Linked DNA regions of Macaca fascicularis. The protein of the gene in region 2 interacts with the protein of the main gene of each other region in a pairwise test. Links are inferred from orthologs where the notes say so. Each region holds a gene or a part of one and is shown on either strand. Other genes may lie near its edges.

Evidence for each region.
Region 1: the proteins of PSMG2 (region 2) and PSMG1 interact in binary tests that used the Homo sapiens proteins (3 or more experiments, as listed by UniProt). The link is inferred for Macaca fascicularis from reciprocal best matches to the Homo sapiens genes PSMG2 and PSMG1.

What each region holds. Positions count from the first base shown.
Region 1 is NC_088377.1:7,818,835-7,825,736, reverse strand, and holds the start of PSMG1 (proteasome assembly chaperone 1), read right to left. Parts: upstream 3,658-6,902; 5' UTR 3,627-3,657; coding exon 3,493-3,626; exon of another isoform or gene 3,305-3,492; intron 2,126-3,304; coding exon 2,019-2,125; intron 683-2,018; coding exon 531-682; intron 238-530; coding exon 175-237; intron 1-174. UniProt on the Homo sapiens protein: Chaperone protein which promotes assembly of the 20S proteasome as part of a heterodimer with PSMG2.
Region 2 is NC_088392.1:80,765,016-80,771,817, reverse strand, and holds part of PSMG2 (proteasome assembly chaperone 2), read right to left. Parts: intron 4,162-6,802; coding exon 3,990-4,161; intron 1,984-3,989; exon of another isoform or gene 1,227-1,983; coding exon of another isoform or gene 1,118-1,226; intron 1-1,117. UniProt on the Homo sapiens protein: Chaperone protein which promotes assembly of the 20S proteasome as part of a heterodimer with PSMG1.

The DNA.
Region 1 (6,902 bases), on a different chromosome or scaffold from region 2:
TTGGTCACGTTAAATAAGCAAGTTCTTTTATTCTTTATATTCCAAAAGAAATTCCCACAATATTTTAAAGAAATAAATATCTGACTGCATAAGTTTAAGTTAAAAGACACCGAACCCATAAAAAATGAAAACTCCTGTAGACTAACCATTCACAGGTTTTCGTTTCTCTCTTACCTTTTCCAGCCACTGATACTGCTGATCTTCTGCAACGTAGCAACTGCATTGACAGAGGAAAACCTGAAAAGTCAAGTTCCACGTTTTTTGTCAAGTAAGTTTTACACACATCCCAAACTATCACCATATATGTAACATGTGAATGACAACACTTAGGTAATACTTATTTTCCTGGCTCCACTATTGACCTACTCTCTTTAAAATTTAAGAGTCAAACCACTACTGGTGATTAGTATCAGAAAAAGTGCACACTGACAGAGCAACTGAAAGACTTGCCATACTAAAGTATACTACCAGTAAATACCATATAAGTGATACTTAAATAACTACTTTTCGAACACACAAGTCCCACCTACCGAGGGATTGGATTTGAGATGATAAAACCCACAAAAAGCCTCTGTGGAGGATAGATGTGTAGTGTCTGCTGTTCTACACCATTCATTCCAGAGTTTAGCACAACCAACTTCTTCCCAGACTCCTGAATTCATAACAAATGATGACAGAAATGCTGTAAAAAAACAATTCACATAAGTTAGTGTTTGGCTCTGCAAGCTGTATCTTCTATTCAATAAAAAGCAAGCTCAAGTTACTGTAGAATTTGAGAGCTGTAAGAGCCATTCAAGACCATCTACCTAATACCACCATTACACAGAAAAAGAAACTGAGGCTCCCAAGAAGTAAAAGGCCACACCCTGATTAAGACAATCCTAGAGCTAGGGATCAAGAAGGCAGGTTTGCTGACAGACTTTCTACCACGTGCTCATGGGGTAATACTCTTCTGAAAACCTTTAGGCCAGCAGAACTTTATATAAATGAGTCCATAGTTACTTGCCATCATGCACTTACTATGTTCTACAAGCACTAGGGGTACCTTACAGAGGAAGGAATCTTAACTGGGTTTCCTGAATGTTCTCATCAGAACCTGTGAACACCCTAAAAATATTAAGGTATATGTGTGTATTTGTACATGTATATTGTCCTAGCTGCACTCTACACTGTTTTTACTTTAATCCACCAAGCGAATTAATACATGCAAGGACCTTAGAACTTAAGTACTTAAACATGTTGATAATTATTACTGTCTTTAGAGTTTTCATTGTGTTCTCAAAGGAGTCCATTAACTCACAAACATTTATATAAATCCAGATACGTCAACACACTAGAAACAGCTCCTTGAGTTTTGAGTTCCTGAGGCTAAAAACATTTTCTTTAAAGCTTTTCTCTGAGTTGGGGTCTTGCTTTGTCACCCAAGCTGGAGCATGATCAGTGGGAGGATCATGGCTCACTGCAGCCTCAAAATCGTGGGCTCAAGCAATCCCCCCATTTCAGGCTCCTCAGTAGCCAGGACTACAGGCAAGCACCACCATGTCTGGCTATATTTTTTCATTTTTTTGTAGAGACAGCGTCTCGCTATGTTGCCCAGGCTGGTCTCAAATCCTGGCCTCAAGTGATCCTCCTGCCTTGGCCTCCCAAAGAGCTGGGGCTACAGATGTGAGCCACTGCACCCAGCCTAAATCTGACCTTTTCAGTTTATTAAAAAGATAATGCAGGCCAGGTGCTGTGGCTCACACCTGTAATCCCAGCTCTTTGGGAAGTTGAGAGCAGGAGGATCACTTGAGGACAGGAGTGCAAGACCAGCCTGGACAACACAGCGAGAAACCATCTCTACCAAAAAAAAAAAAAAAGATGCAACATGAACAGGAGAGAGATTTTACTCAGAAATACACTCTGCTGTGGCTTTTTAAAGTACCAAACATTTTAAATCTTTTATGATAGAAGAATATAAGTAACGTTATATTTCATTCTTTCAACAAAATGACTAAGTCTTCTGCATTTTCACTTACCTACTGCATTATTTCCTATAGCAATTATAAACTTGGAGCACGGATATTTTTCTAGCAAAGAAACTTCCAAAGATGTTTTTGTTTGTCTTCGAAGGAGCCGCACCTCCCTAACACAAGAAACAAGATGAAACTAAAGCAACTTCAATACAAACAGTATCATATTATGGCAAAAGGGCACTATATGTATGTATTACAATAAATAAAATGCACGTTAGTTTTATAAAGAATATAACTAATATCGTCAGAAAACGATGGACTCAGGCAACGATAACCAACAGATAAAACTATTGCATACGTGTTTAGGGAGAACTCTAAAATAGTGGTCAGGCTGTCCACCTGACCCAAGGATCAATCTTAGATCCCTAAAAGTGAGACAACTTGGAGATAGCCTGCAACAAGAAACAGAAAGCACCACTTAGTAGAAGCATTCTTGCCGACAAAACATTGAATGTGAATCTGACCAAACCTACAAATGAACATTCATTTACAGGACATGCAGGTGAAACACACGTTAAGTGATACCACAAGGAAGCTATCAGACAAATTCAGAGTGTGGGGCACTGGACAGGTCAGCCAGTCCTGTCTCTTAGGAGGGCTAAGAGAAGGCTGCTCTAAATGAAGTGACACGTCTAAATGTAACCTGTAGACCCTGTTAGGATCCTCATTCACACAAACCACTGTAAAATATCATGTTTGAAAAAACTAGGTAAACGTGAGTGAGCATGGACTATGAAATCATACTGAAAAGTTAGTATTAGTGTTGTTAGAGGTGATAATAGCGTATGTAAGAAAATCCCTAAAACGTTTGAGATGTATTCTGAAAAATGCAGAATTTGTGAAAGGTCATGATGACTGGAATTCGCTTAGAGTGGCGAGAGAGGAAATAAACGTGGCAAAATCTTCCCGTTGAATTTACCTGGTTGTGTTAGGGGTCAGGGCTCACTTGACTATTTTCTCCCACATTTTTATGTGTTTGGAAACAATTTTTTTAAAGAGTGTTCATCTGCTACTGAAATATTATGCTAATTGAAGTGTGGGGTGGAGGTTTAAAAAGTTTTGAGGGAATCGGTGCGTCCCTCAAAGGAGCAATCCACGACAAACGTCGTGGGACCCGCGGGAGCGCTGCGGCCCAAGATAATGTGACAAGAAGCGGGAAGATCACGAGTCCTCAAGACACCAAGCCTCCAGGAAGCCTTTAAAGAACGGTTTTGAACCCAGCCCTCCCACAGCGGCTTCACCCTGGACTCCACGAAACGCCAGCGGATCCACCCGAGCACCGCACCCACCTGGGGCTGGCGCCGACGGACTCCGCGGCTTCACGGAGACCCAGGGCCCAAGCAGAGCCACGGAGCGGCGGCAACCGCGGGGATTACTCGGAAGACCGCGGAGCCCCGGCCTTCGGTGCCGTCGCCGCTGCGAGGCCCGCGCACTTTCCAGCAGCGGAGAGCGCGCCTCCCTTATCCGGGTGCCTCACCTCTTCCGCGCCAGCTGTTGACGCACCTCCCTGTCCTCGGGCGTCTCCCTCCGCCCCTCCTCCTCCTCCTCCTCGTCCTCCGTCCCAGCTCGGCATGGCGCCTTCACCACCTCTCCGAAGAACGTGGCCGCCATAGCCGACCCGGGACCGGCTGGACACAACTGCGGCGCCGCGGGACGGCGCACGCCAGCATGCGCGAGACCAAGCTCCCTCACCGCGCAGGCAATAAGTCCCGCCCCGCACAGGCCACGCCCTCCGCGCACAGCCCGAGCTCGCGGCCACAACCCCACGGCGCGGGCGCCACGCCCCCAGACGCATCAAGAGCTTGCGGCCACGCCCTCTACAGTGCTCGCCCGCGCTGCCACGCCTTGGGCCAGGATTACCCGCAGTTTGTTTTTAAATTACAGATTGTGGGGTTGGGGGTCTCGCTGTGTTGCCCAGACTGGTCTCGAACTACTGGGCTCAAGCGATACTCCTGCTTTGACCTCCCAAAGTGCGTGGATACAGGCGTGAGCCACCGCGTCCGGCCCCCAAATGCTTTCATTCGCAGCTTGAGCCCTGCGGGCGTCGAGAGGTGGGAGGACTGCGGGCTAGAGGGGCAGGGGGGCGAGAGGAGGGCGGGGCCTCCAGTCGCGGCGGTAGCGAAACCAGGGATGCAGGGGCGGCGCCGGCGCCGCTGGCGGTGGCGTCTGGGAGCTGTGAGGCCTTTCCCTTTTCCTTCTGCGATAGGAGAGACTGGGGGAACCTTAGGGCACCCGCTCCAAATTTCGACTGCCCAGGTAGGTGGCCGCGCGGTGGCACTGAGGGCCCCCGGAGCCAGGCGCGCCCTCTGATAGCGGGCACGGGCGGACGCAAGGGCAGCAAGAAATACAGCGCTTCGTGGTGGTATAAAAATGAGACTTTTACTCTGGCAATAGGTATTCACATTTCAAAAGCTGATGATTGTCAAGCCGATTTTAAAAACATTTTTATGAGAATGTAAAAAATAGTGTATTTTTTAAACTTGGCCATTTTCTAATACAAAATGTTTCTTTTTAAATAGCCTTTAATTAAGCAAAATGTGTGATTAATTGGTTCTCTTTCAAATGTGCTGGAAGACAAAGTTCGAGGAGCACTGTTTCAAGCAAGAGAAAAAGGGGACATAATTTAAATGAAAATGAAAATATGCAGTAATGCAATGAAAAATAAAAACTGTTTCCTAGATTTAGTTGTACGGAAATACATGACATCGCCTGCATGTTGTGACTTTGTCAGTAGTCACAAAGGTAAGTACTACTTTGGGGTCAGAGAGAGCCTGTTGAGATAAAATCTCAAAGCTGCTAGAAACATTTTAAGATGTGGAAAAATAATGATCAACAAAATCATTTACATAAAATTAGTGTTTAGCAGATCTACACATCTGCAAAAAAAAAAAAAAAAGTGTGAGTTTGGAAGCAAAATTTGAACATTTAGCAATAAAATTAAGACTAAATTGCTAGCCAGTAAGAGCTTAGGAAACTTTGGATATCCTTAGTGAGATGGAATAAACAAGATTACCAAAATGATGTTTTAAAACATTAGGACTCCTGGGTTAATTGGTCTATTATAATGATGGAACTGCAGAATAAAAAGGTTGTTTGGGCACCACTTGTCTTAGTCCTTTTGTTAATTTGTCATTTTTACCAGTAAAGATCTTCAATTTGATTTCACAGTTCCATTATGAAGAAATATTTTCTGCAAAGCAAATTACTGTAAATAGAGTAATAGTAATATATTTGGCCATGATTTAAATTCTGCACACATTTCAGAGAGAACAATTTTACAATGTTAAGTTTTAAGCAAATGCTTATTTCATGCAGTTACAATAAGTTAGGCCACTTTTTAAAAAGGCAAATATCTTCGAATTAAATACTTAGCCAAAAAAGGATTCCATTATGCAAGACTGATAATACAGTCTCAAATACTGACAGAAATTAACCCCACCACAGCAAATTATAAATTAAAAGCTTAAATTCTTTCGTTACACTGAAATTGCCAAAAAAAAAAAAAAAAAAAAAACCTTTGCATAAAATAGTCTTCACTGAGAGTTAAGTACTTCATTTTATAGTTATTTGTTGAGGACATAATAGACTCAAGAAATGTAAATTAAGTAAATTTTGAACTGGAAAGAAGTTTAAGCATTTCATTAGAACTCAAAAATCAAAACCCATGCACCTAAAAGTAATAGCAGTTTATTAGGAATTCTTCCCTTCTCACCTGTGCATCAACATACTGGGGATCAGTAGTTTAGATGAAAGTATACTACAAAAGGAGCAAAGGACACAGACTTAGTAGGTTAGAATATTCTGGCTTATGCTAAAAAACAAAAGCCTTTTTTTAAAACAGACATGCAACCACAAATTTCTCAAGTATTTTGGACACTTGGTTCATCTGTATAACAACAAAAAAAAATGCATTTGACTTAAAAAATAGAAAACCCTAGATTTCTGTAATTTAGTTTTTCAGATTTACACATGCAGATCATATACTTAGATATTTTTAAGTGGGAAAACAACTTACTTTCAACAACTTAATTTTTCCAATAACACGTTACTATGTTAAAAAGATGTGACAGTACATTCATTTAATCTGGCAATTTTAATTTCAACAAACACATATTAACAACAAATTAAATCCTATTGTAAATACACTTGTTATACCACGACCAGATTTTCTAATCCTAGCAGAGGCCACGATGAAATAGGCCAAACATGCTACCATTAAAGTTTGTTGGGATGAGACTGTAATAAGTACTCAAAGTATTCAAGTTCTAATTTTTAAGGTGCTGTAGAGAAACATAAAAGATTTCACTGTATCTAAAAATATGACTGTTTTGATCTTAAGCTATATATTTTATTTTTATCTGATTAAACTAAGACCTGCCTCTTAATGAGGCACATTTTTGGCATTTCTGTAAATGCTGCTACATAAAAGTAAAAATAAGGAAAAGCCGTGATAGTAACATTCATAGCTTTCATATAAAAATATATATTCCCTGAATTAGTCATATCAAGTGGTCATTCAGTATGAACTGCAATATTATAAACAAAATGACATCAATGGACTTTCTCTAATTGCCTATTTCCAACACTCTACCTCAGAACTCAATAATCAACATCTCCAGCTGACATTCCCAGGTCCTCCTAGTTTGTTTTTGACCTTTGGGGATATGAATTATAGGGACTGGATCTAGGTAGTTTTTGCTTCACTCAGAAGTCAAATAGGCCCATTAGCACTTCCTTTGGAAAAGTGCCTGATTTTTTTTCCTCATGACACCATAGTTGTCGTGGTCTTAATTTTTACACTCTAATGGAGAACCCTTAAAATTAGCATCAGGTTGAGATTTTGAAATTTGTTCACTCCAAGTTCTTCCTAGCCTGTACACTTCCCAC
Region 2 (6,802 bases):
GAGCATCCAGAGGGAGACTCCCTCTGGGGGTTGGGGGGAAGAAACCCCATCTCTACTAAAAATACAAAAATTAGCCAGGCATACTGGTAGGCTCCTGTAATCACAGCTACTCAGGAGGCTGAAGCAAGAGAATTGCTTCAACTTGGGAGGCGAAGGTAGAAGTGAGCTGAGGTCATGCCATTGCACTCCAGCCTGAGTGACAAGAGCAAAACTCTGACTCGAAAAAAAAAAAAAAAAGATTTATGGGGACAATGCCCCAAAGAAATAAGCAGTTTATAAATGGGTAACTCATCTTAAGGGACGAGATAATGTTAAAGATGAAGCCCACAGCAGCAGACCATCTACCTCAATTTGAGGAAAAATTCATCCTATTTGTGCCCTAATTGAAGAGGACTGACGATTAACAGCAGAAACAACCTTCAACACCACAGACATCTCAATTGGTTCACCTTACACAATTCTGACTGAACAATTAAAGTTGAGCAAACTTTCCACTCGATGAGCACCAAAACCATTGTGTCCCGTCAGCTACAGACAAGAGCACAGCTTTCAATGGCAATTTTAAACAAGTGATACCAAGATCCTGAAATATTTAAGGAACTGTAGCTAATGAAACGTGGCTTTTTTTTTTTTTTTTTTTTTTGAGACGGAGTCTCGCTCTGTCGCCCAGACTGGAGTGCAGTGGCCGGATCTCAGCTCACTGAAAGCTCCGCCTCCCGAGTTTACGCCATTCTCCTGCCTCAGCCTCCCGAGTAGCTGGGACTACAGGCGCCCGCCACCTCGCCCGGCTAGTTTTTTATATTTTTTAGTAGAGACGGGGTTTCACCGGGTTAGCCAGGATGGTCTCGATCTCCTGACCTCGTGATCCGCCCGTCTCGGCCTCCCAAAGTGCAAGGATTACAGGCTTGAGCCACCACGCCCGGCGGAAACGTGGCTTTACCAGTATAATCCTGATGAAAAAGCACATTCAAAGCAATGGCTACCAAGGCAGAAGTGGTTCAGCCAAACAAAAGTGAACCAGTCAAGAGTAGAAGTCATAGCAACAGTTTTTTGGGACGCTCCAGGCATTCTGCTTGTTGACTTTCTGGGGGGCCAAAGAATGATAACATCTGCTTACCATGACAGCGTTTTGAGAAAGTCAACCAAAGCTTTCTCAGAAAAGCAACTGGAAAAGATTCACGAGAGTCCTTGTCCATCAGAAAAATGATGCTGCTCATTCCTCCCATCAAACAAGGGCACTTTTGTCAAAGTTTCAATGGGAAATCATTACGCCTCCACCTTGTCCTGATTTGGCTGCTTCTGACTTCTTTTGTTTCCTAATCTTAAAAAATCTGCAAAGAGCACCCATTTTTCTTCAATTAATAATGTAAAAAAGACTGCACTGACATGGTTTAATTCCCAGGCCCCTCAGTTCTTTAGGGATGGGCTACATGGCTGCCATCATGGCTTACAAAAGTGTCTTGAACTTGACGAAGCTGATGTTCAGAAATAAAGTTTATAGTTTTTATCTTTTTGTTCATTTTCTCACAAACTTTTTGAAGTCTCCTCATACTATAGGTGCTGGTTTGGACAAACTAAACTTTGGGCAACATTGTGGGGTAAACTGGGCCAATTTTAATATGGGTAAGATATAGGGAGATATTAATAAATAAATAATTTTGTTACAGTTCCTCATATATAAAACTACCTTACAAAATAGTTGTAAGGCCATATGCAGTGGCTCATGCCTGTAATCCTAGCACTTTGGGAGGCCGAGGCGGGCAGATCACCTGAGATCAGGAGTTCGAGACCAGCCTGACAAACATGGAGAAACCCTGTCTTTACTAAAAAAAAAAATTGGCCGGGCGTGGTGGCACATGCCTGTAATCCCAGCTACTGGGGAGGCTGAGGCAGGAGAATCACTTGAACCCAGGAGGCAGAGGTGGCGGTGAGTCGAGATTGTGCCATTGCACTCCAGCCTGGGGAACAAGAACAAAACTCCGTCTTAAAAAAAAAAAAACAGTTGTAAGGATTAAATGAAATACACGTAAATGCGGCTGGGCGCGGCAGCTCATGCCTGTAATCCCAGCACTTTAAGTGGCCAAGGCAGGCAGATCACCTGATTTCAGGAGTTCGAGACCAGCCTGACCAACATGGAGAAACTCCATCTCTACTAAAAACACAAAACTAGCTGGGTGTGGCAGCACATGCCTGTAATCCCAGCTACTCGGGAGGCTGATGCAGGAGAACTGCTTGAACCTGGAAGACGGAGGTTGCGGTGAGCTGAGATTGCACCATTGTACTCCAACCTGTGCAACAAGAGCAAAACTCTGTATCAAAAAAAAAAAAAAAAAAAGTACATGGCATTCAGTTCACAGTAATACTTAATAAAAGATAGCTGTTATCACTAGCGGAAAGTATACAAATTCTAGGGGCTTTCATTTTTTAAGATATGGTCTCACTTTGTCACCCAGGCTGGAGTGCAGTGGCATCATCATGGCTCACTGTAGCCACAACCTCCCAGGCTCCAACAGTCCTCCCAAGTCAGCCTCCTAAGAGGTTGGGACTACAGGTTGGCTAATTTTTTACTTTTTCTTTTTGTAAAGATGGGGTCTCATTTTGTTGCCCAGGCTGGTCTCAAACTCCTGGGCTCAAGTGTTCCTCCTACCTCAGCCTCTCAAAGTGTTGGGATTACAGATGTGCACCAGTGCACCCAGTCATGAATTCTGGTTTTAACCATTTACAGTCCTTTATCCTCTGAGGCAGTAACTAAAATTTAGTCTTGTGTTGACAAAGCCATCTGTCCTGTAGGGAGTTCAATAATAAGGTCATTTCTCAAATGTACATTTCATTATCGTAAGCTAAGAACAATGATATGGTTAATAAGACACAAAAACCAAAATGCTTCTTCATTTGTCTTTCAATTCACCAAAGGCCTTTTGTGCTCTTCTATCCCTCTGGATTTGACCTTAAAATGGTAAACAGAGGACTGAAAGATCACCAGAACAGTTAGCCATCAAAGGCAGTAACTGGTGCTCCCATGCTTCACGATCTACAGGAGCTCTTCTCTTACTCACCAGCTGCTGTGATGCATTATAACCAGTGTTCCCTGATTAATCAAGCCTGATAGTCCAATGAGGAATTACAAAGATTTACAGTATGGGAAGAGCCTACACCTATTAGTGGCATCAGGCAAGTCAATCTCTTTGAGCCTTATCTATACCATATTATTACGAATCCTATACTGGAAGAGGATGACTAAGAGAATGAGGCTTAGTTGACGTAACATATGTTAAACCTACAGGACTGAGTCCAATGCAATCTTCTTTTTGCCTTTCCATATTATTAGTGATGGTTACACATACCAGTAAGAACAAGAAATAAAACTGAGGATAGAAGGAAAAAAATCCATGTTGAAAAAAAAGGAAATTTTAAATTCTATAAAAGACACAAGTATGGGCTGGGCACAGTGGCTCACGCCTGTAATCCCAGCACTTTGGGAGGCCGAGGTGGGTGGATCACGATGTCAAGATATTGAGACCATCCTGGCTTACACGGTGAAACCCCATCTCTACTAAAAAAATATAAAAAATTAGCCAGGCACAGTGGCAGGCGTTTGTAGTCCCAGCTACTCGTGAGGCTGAGGCAGGAGAATGGCGTGAACCCGGGGGGCAGAGCTTGCAGTGAGCCAAGATCACACCACTGCACTCCAGCCTGGGTGACAGAGCAAGACTCCGTCTTAAAAAAAAAAAAAAAAAAAAAAAAAAAAAAAACACACAAGTATGATCTTATTCTCAACCTTCATAAGAGCTGCCATTTACAAGAGTCTAACAACTAAAACCAGGATGTAAAAGAATAGGACAATGTGATTGGGTTGTGAATTCTACACAAAGTTGGCACTAAGTAAACATTTGGTACAAAACAATTATCAATAAAGTCTATTTCTAACTTTAAGAGTCTAAAACAACTCTACCTTGTAGCAGAACAATACAAGGTAAAGTCTTACATACCTTCAGCATTTATACTAAGTTCTGTTGAATTTCCTTCCGCAGTCGCATATGGATTGTTTCCAACCATAGGCACAAGACAATCGGTATAGAAGTAACCAATCTTAGACATATTCAGTGTAGAAATAATCAGATCCATTGCAAGCTGGCCAACATTTCCAACAGATACTGCTGGCTGAAATTATAAAAAATATGTTCAGTAAGTCACCAAAATTAGCAGCACTTTATTTTATTTTTTGAGACAGAGTCTGCCTCTGTCTCCCAGGCTGGAGTGCAGTGGTACCATCTCGGCTTACTGCAGCCTCCTCCTCCCGGCTTGAAGCAATTCTCCTGCCTCAGCCTCCTGGGTAGCTGGGATTACAGGCGTGCACCACCACACCCAGCTAATTTTTGTATTTTTAGTAGAGACGGGGTTTCACCATGTTGGCCAGGGTGGTCTGAAACTCCTGACCTCAGGTGATCCACCCGCCTCAGCCTCCCAAAGTGCTGGGATTACAGGCGTGAGCCAACACGACTGGTTGCAGCACTTCAAAAAGTTTAGACAGAAAACAACAGTCATAGTATTAGTACTGAAAGCGTCATAGCATCATGGCTAGATACTGATTTTCATTAACTACAACTGCTGGGGCCTCCTCCACCTTTGAGACTATTGATTTAACAAATACTTATTGAACGTCAGCTATGTCAATTGCTGCTCTAGGCACTGGGAACGCAGGAAAATAAACCAACAAAAGTTCACGCCCTCATGGAACTTCCATTCGAGCCAGAGTGGTTTACCTGCAATAAAACAAACAGTAAAATATACAGTGGTAAGTGCTGCGGAGACAAAGTGCGAGGATGTGTGTACACGGCTGATTTCAATTTTAAGTAGAGAGATCGAGGAAAGACTCACCCTAGGTGACAAAAGACTAGAGACCTGAAAAAGGTAAAGGAGACAGCCATACAGAGAAATGGGAAAGACCATTCCAGGCAGTGGGAAAGCAAGTGTAAAGACTACGAGGTATGAACAGAAGCTCTCTTGGGTCTTCTTACCATCTGCTTTATTAGTGCCTCTTCACTCATTCGTTGAAGTGAGCTTTTCACACTAAACACACACACAAACTCTCTTTTTCCCGTGACTTAAAATAATAAAGCTGCCAAATCCCTACCTACATCCCACAACATGTAGGAGCTCCACAACCTAATGATGTCTCCACATGGTTAGGTCACAGGAAACTCACATTCTGCAAGTCCAAAACTATAAACTTCTGCCCAAATTTGTCTCCATATTTTGTATTTTAGAAAAGTGCGCTGGGCATGGTGGCTCATGCCTGTAATCCCAGCACTTTGGGAGGCTGAGGCGGGCAGATCACCTGAGGTCAGGAGTTCAAGACCAGACTGGCCTACATGGTAAAACCCTGTCTCTACTAAAAATACAAAATTAGCCAGGTGTGGTGGCGCATGCCTGTAATCCCAGCTACTCAGGAGGCTGAGGCAGGAGAATCACTTGAACCCAGGAGGCGGAGGTTGCAGTGAGCCGAGATCGCACCATGGCACTCCAGCCTAGGCAAAAAAAAAAGCGAAACTCCGTCTCAAATTAAAAAAAAAAAAAAGTTCAACATTATTCACTCTACCTAAACTTTTTCCCATTCCCTTACCAACTACATCTAATACATGCCTAATTTTTATTGAGGTTATCCCCAAAGTATCCTTTTAATGTAGCTCCTCCTCTGCATTCTTCCAACAATTCCTTTGGTTTCTGTCCTTCAGGGTGTTCCCTCAGCATGTTCTCCACTTCTCACTGTTGTCACCTACCAATTGCCTAGTCACCTCCTGTAATTCCCTTCTCAACAATTTTGACACTTGGGTTAAACTCTGTACCATCCTTCTCTTCCTCACTATTGTATTATGTCCATCAGTACATAAACATGCTCTAATATCTTTCATTCTAGAAGATCTTGACCCCACATAGCCCTCTAGCTCAGCCTCATTTCTTGTGTCTCTATATAGCAAAAATTCTCCAAGTCACCCACAAAAACATAAGCAGAAACTTTATCTCTTATTAAAAAAATTTTTTTTCTGAGACAGGGTCTCACTCTGTCACCCAGCCTGGAGTGCAGTGGCATGATTTCAGCTCACTGCAGCCTCTGCCTCCTGGGCTCAAGTGATCCTCCCACCTCAGCTTCCTGAGTAGCTGAGATACAAGTGCAGGCCACCACACCTGGCTAATTTTTATTATTATTATTTTTTTTTGTAGAGATGAGGTATCACTATGTTGCTCAGGCTGGTCTTAAACTCCTGAGCTCAAGAGATTCTCCTGTACTTGGCCTTCCAAAGTGCTGGGATTACAGGTGTGAGCCATCATGCCTGTCTCTGAATTAATGACTGGAGATATATATATATATATATAATACAACCCAAATCTTTACTTGCTTTCTGCCATTCATTCACCCACTCCAATATGGCTTTTCTCTTCACCACTTCACTGGTAACTGTCCAGATGACCACCATTAACATGTCGCTAAATCCAAACATACGCTTTCTTCACCTTACACACCTCTGGGCTACTTCTGACATGGCTACTCCCTCCTTTTTGAAACACTCTTCTCTGGGGCTGTGTGTTTTATATGTGGTGAATAAGAATGACAGTTCCAGCTCTCTCCAGCCTTACACCACTCCAAAGAGTGCATTTCCAGTGGTGCCTTCTGGGTTCACAGAGCCTACAGCTTATTCTCTCTCAATGTGTCATTCCAAATTCTTGGCAGGCTTCAAGTCCCCCATGCTTACGTGACTGTGTTACAGACATCTATCTTTCTGAAGCGCCTACTTTCCCCTAT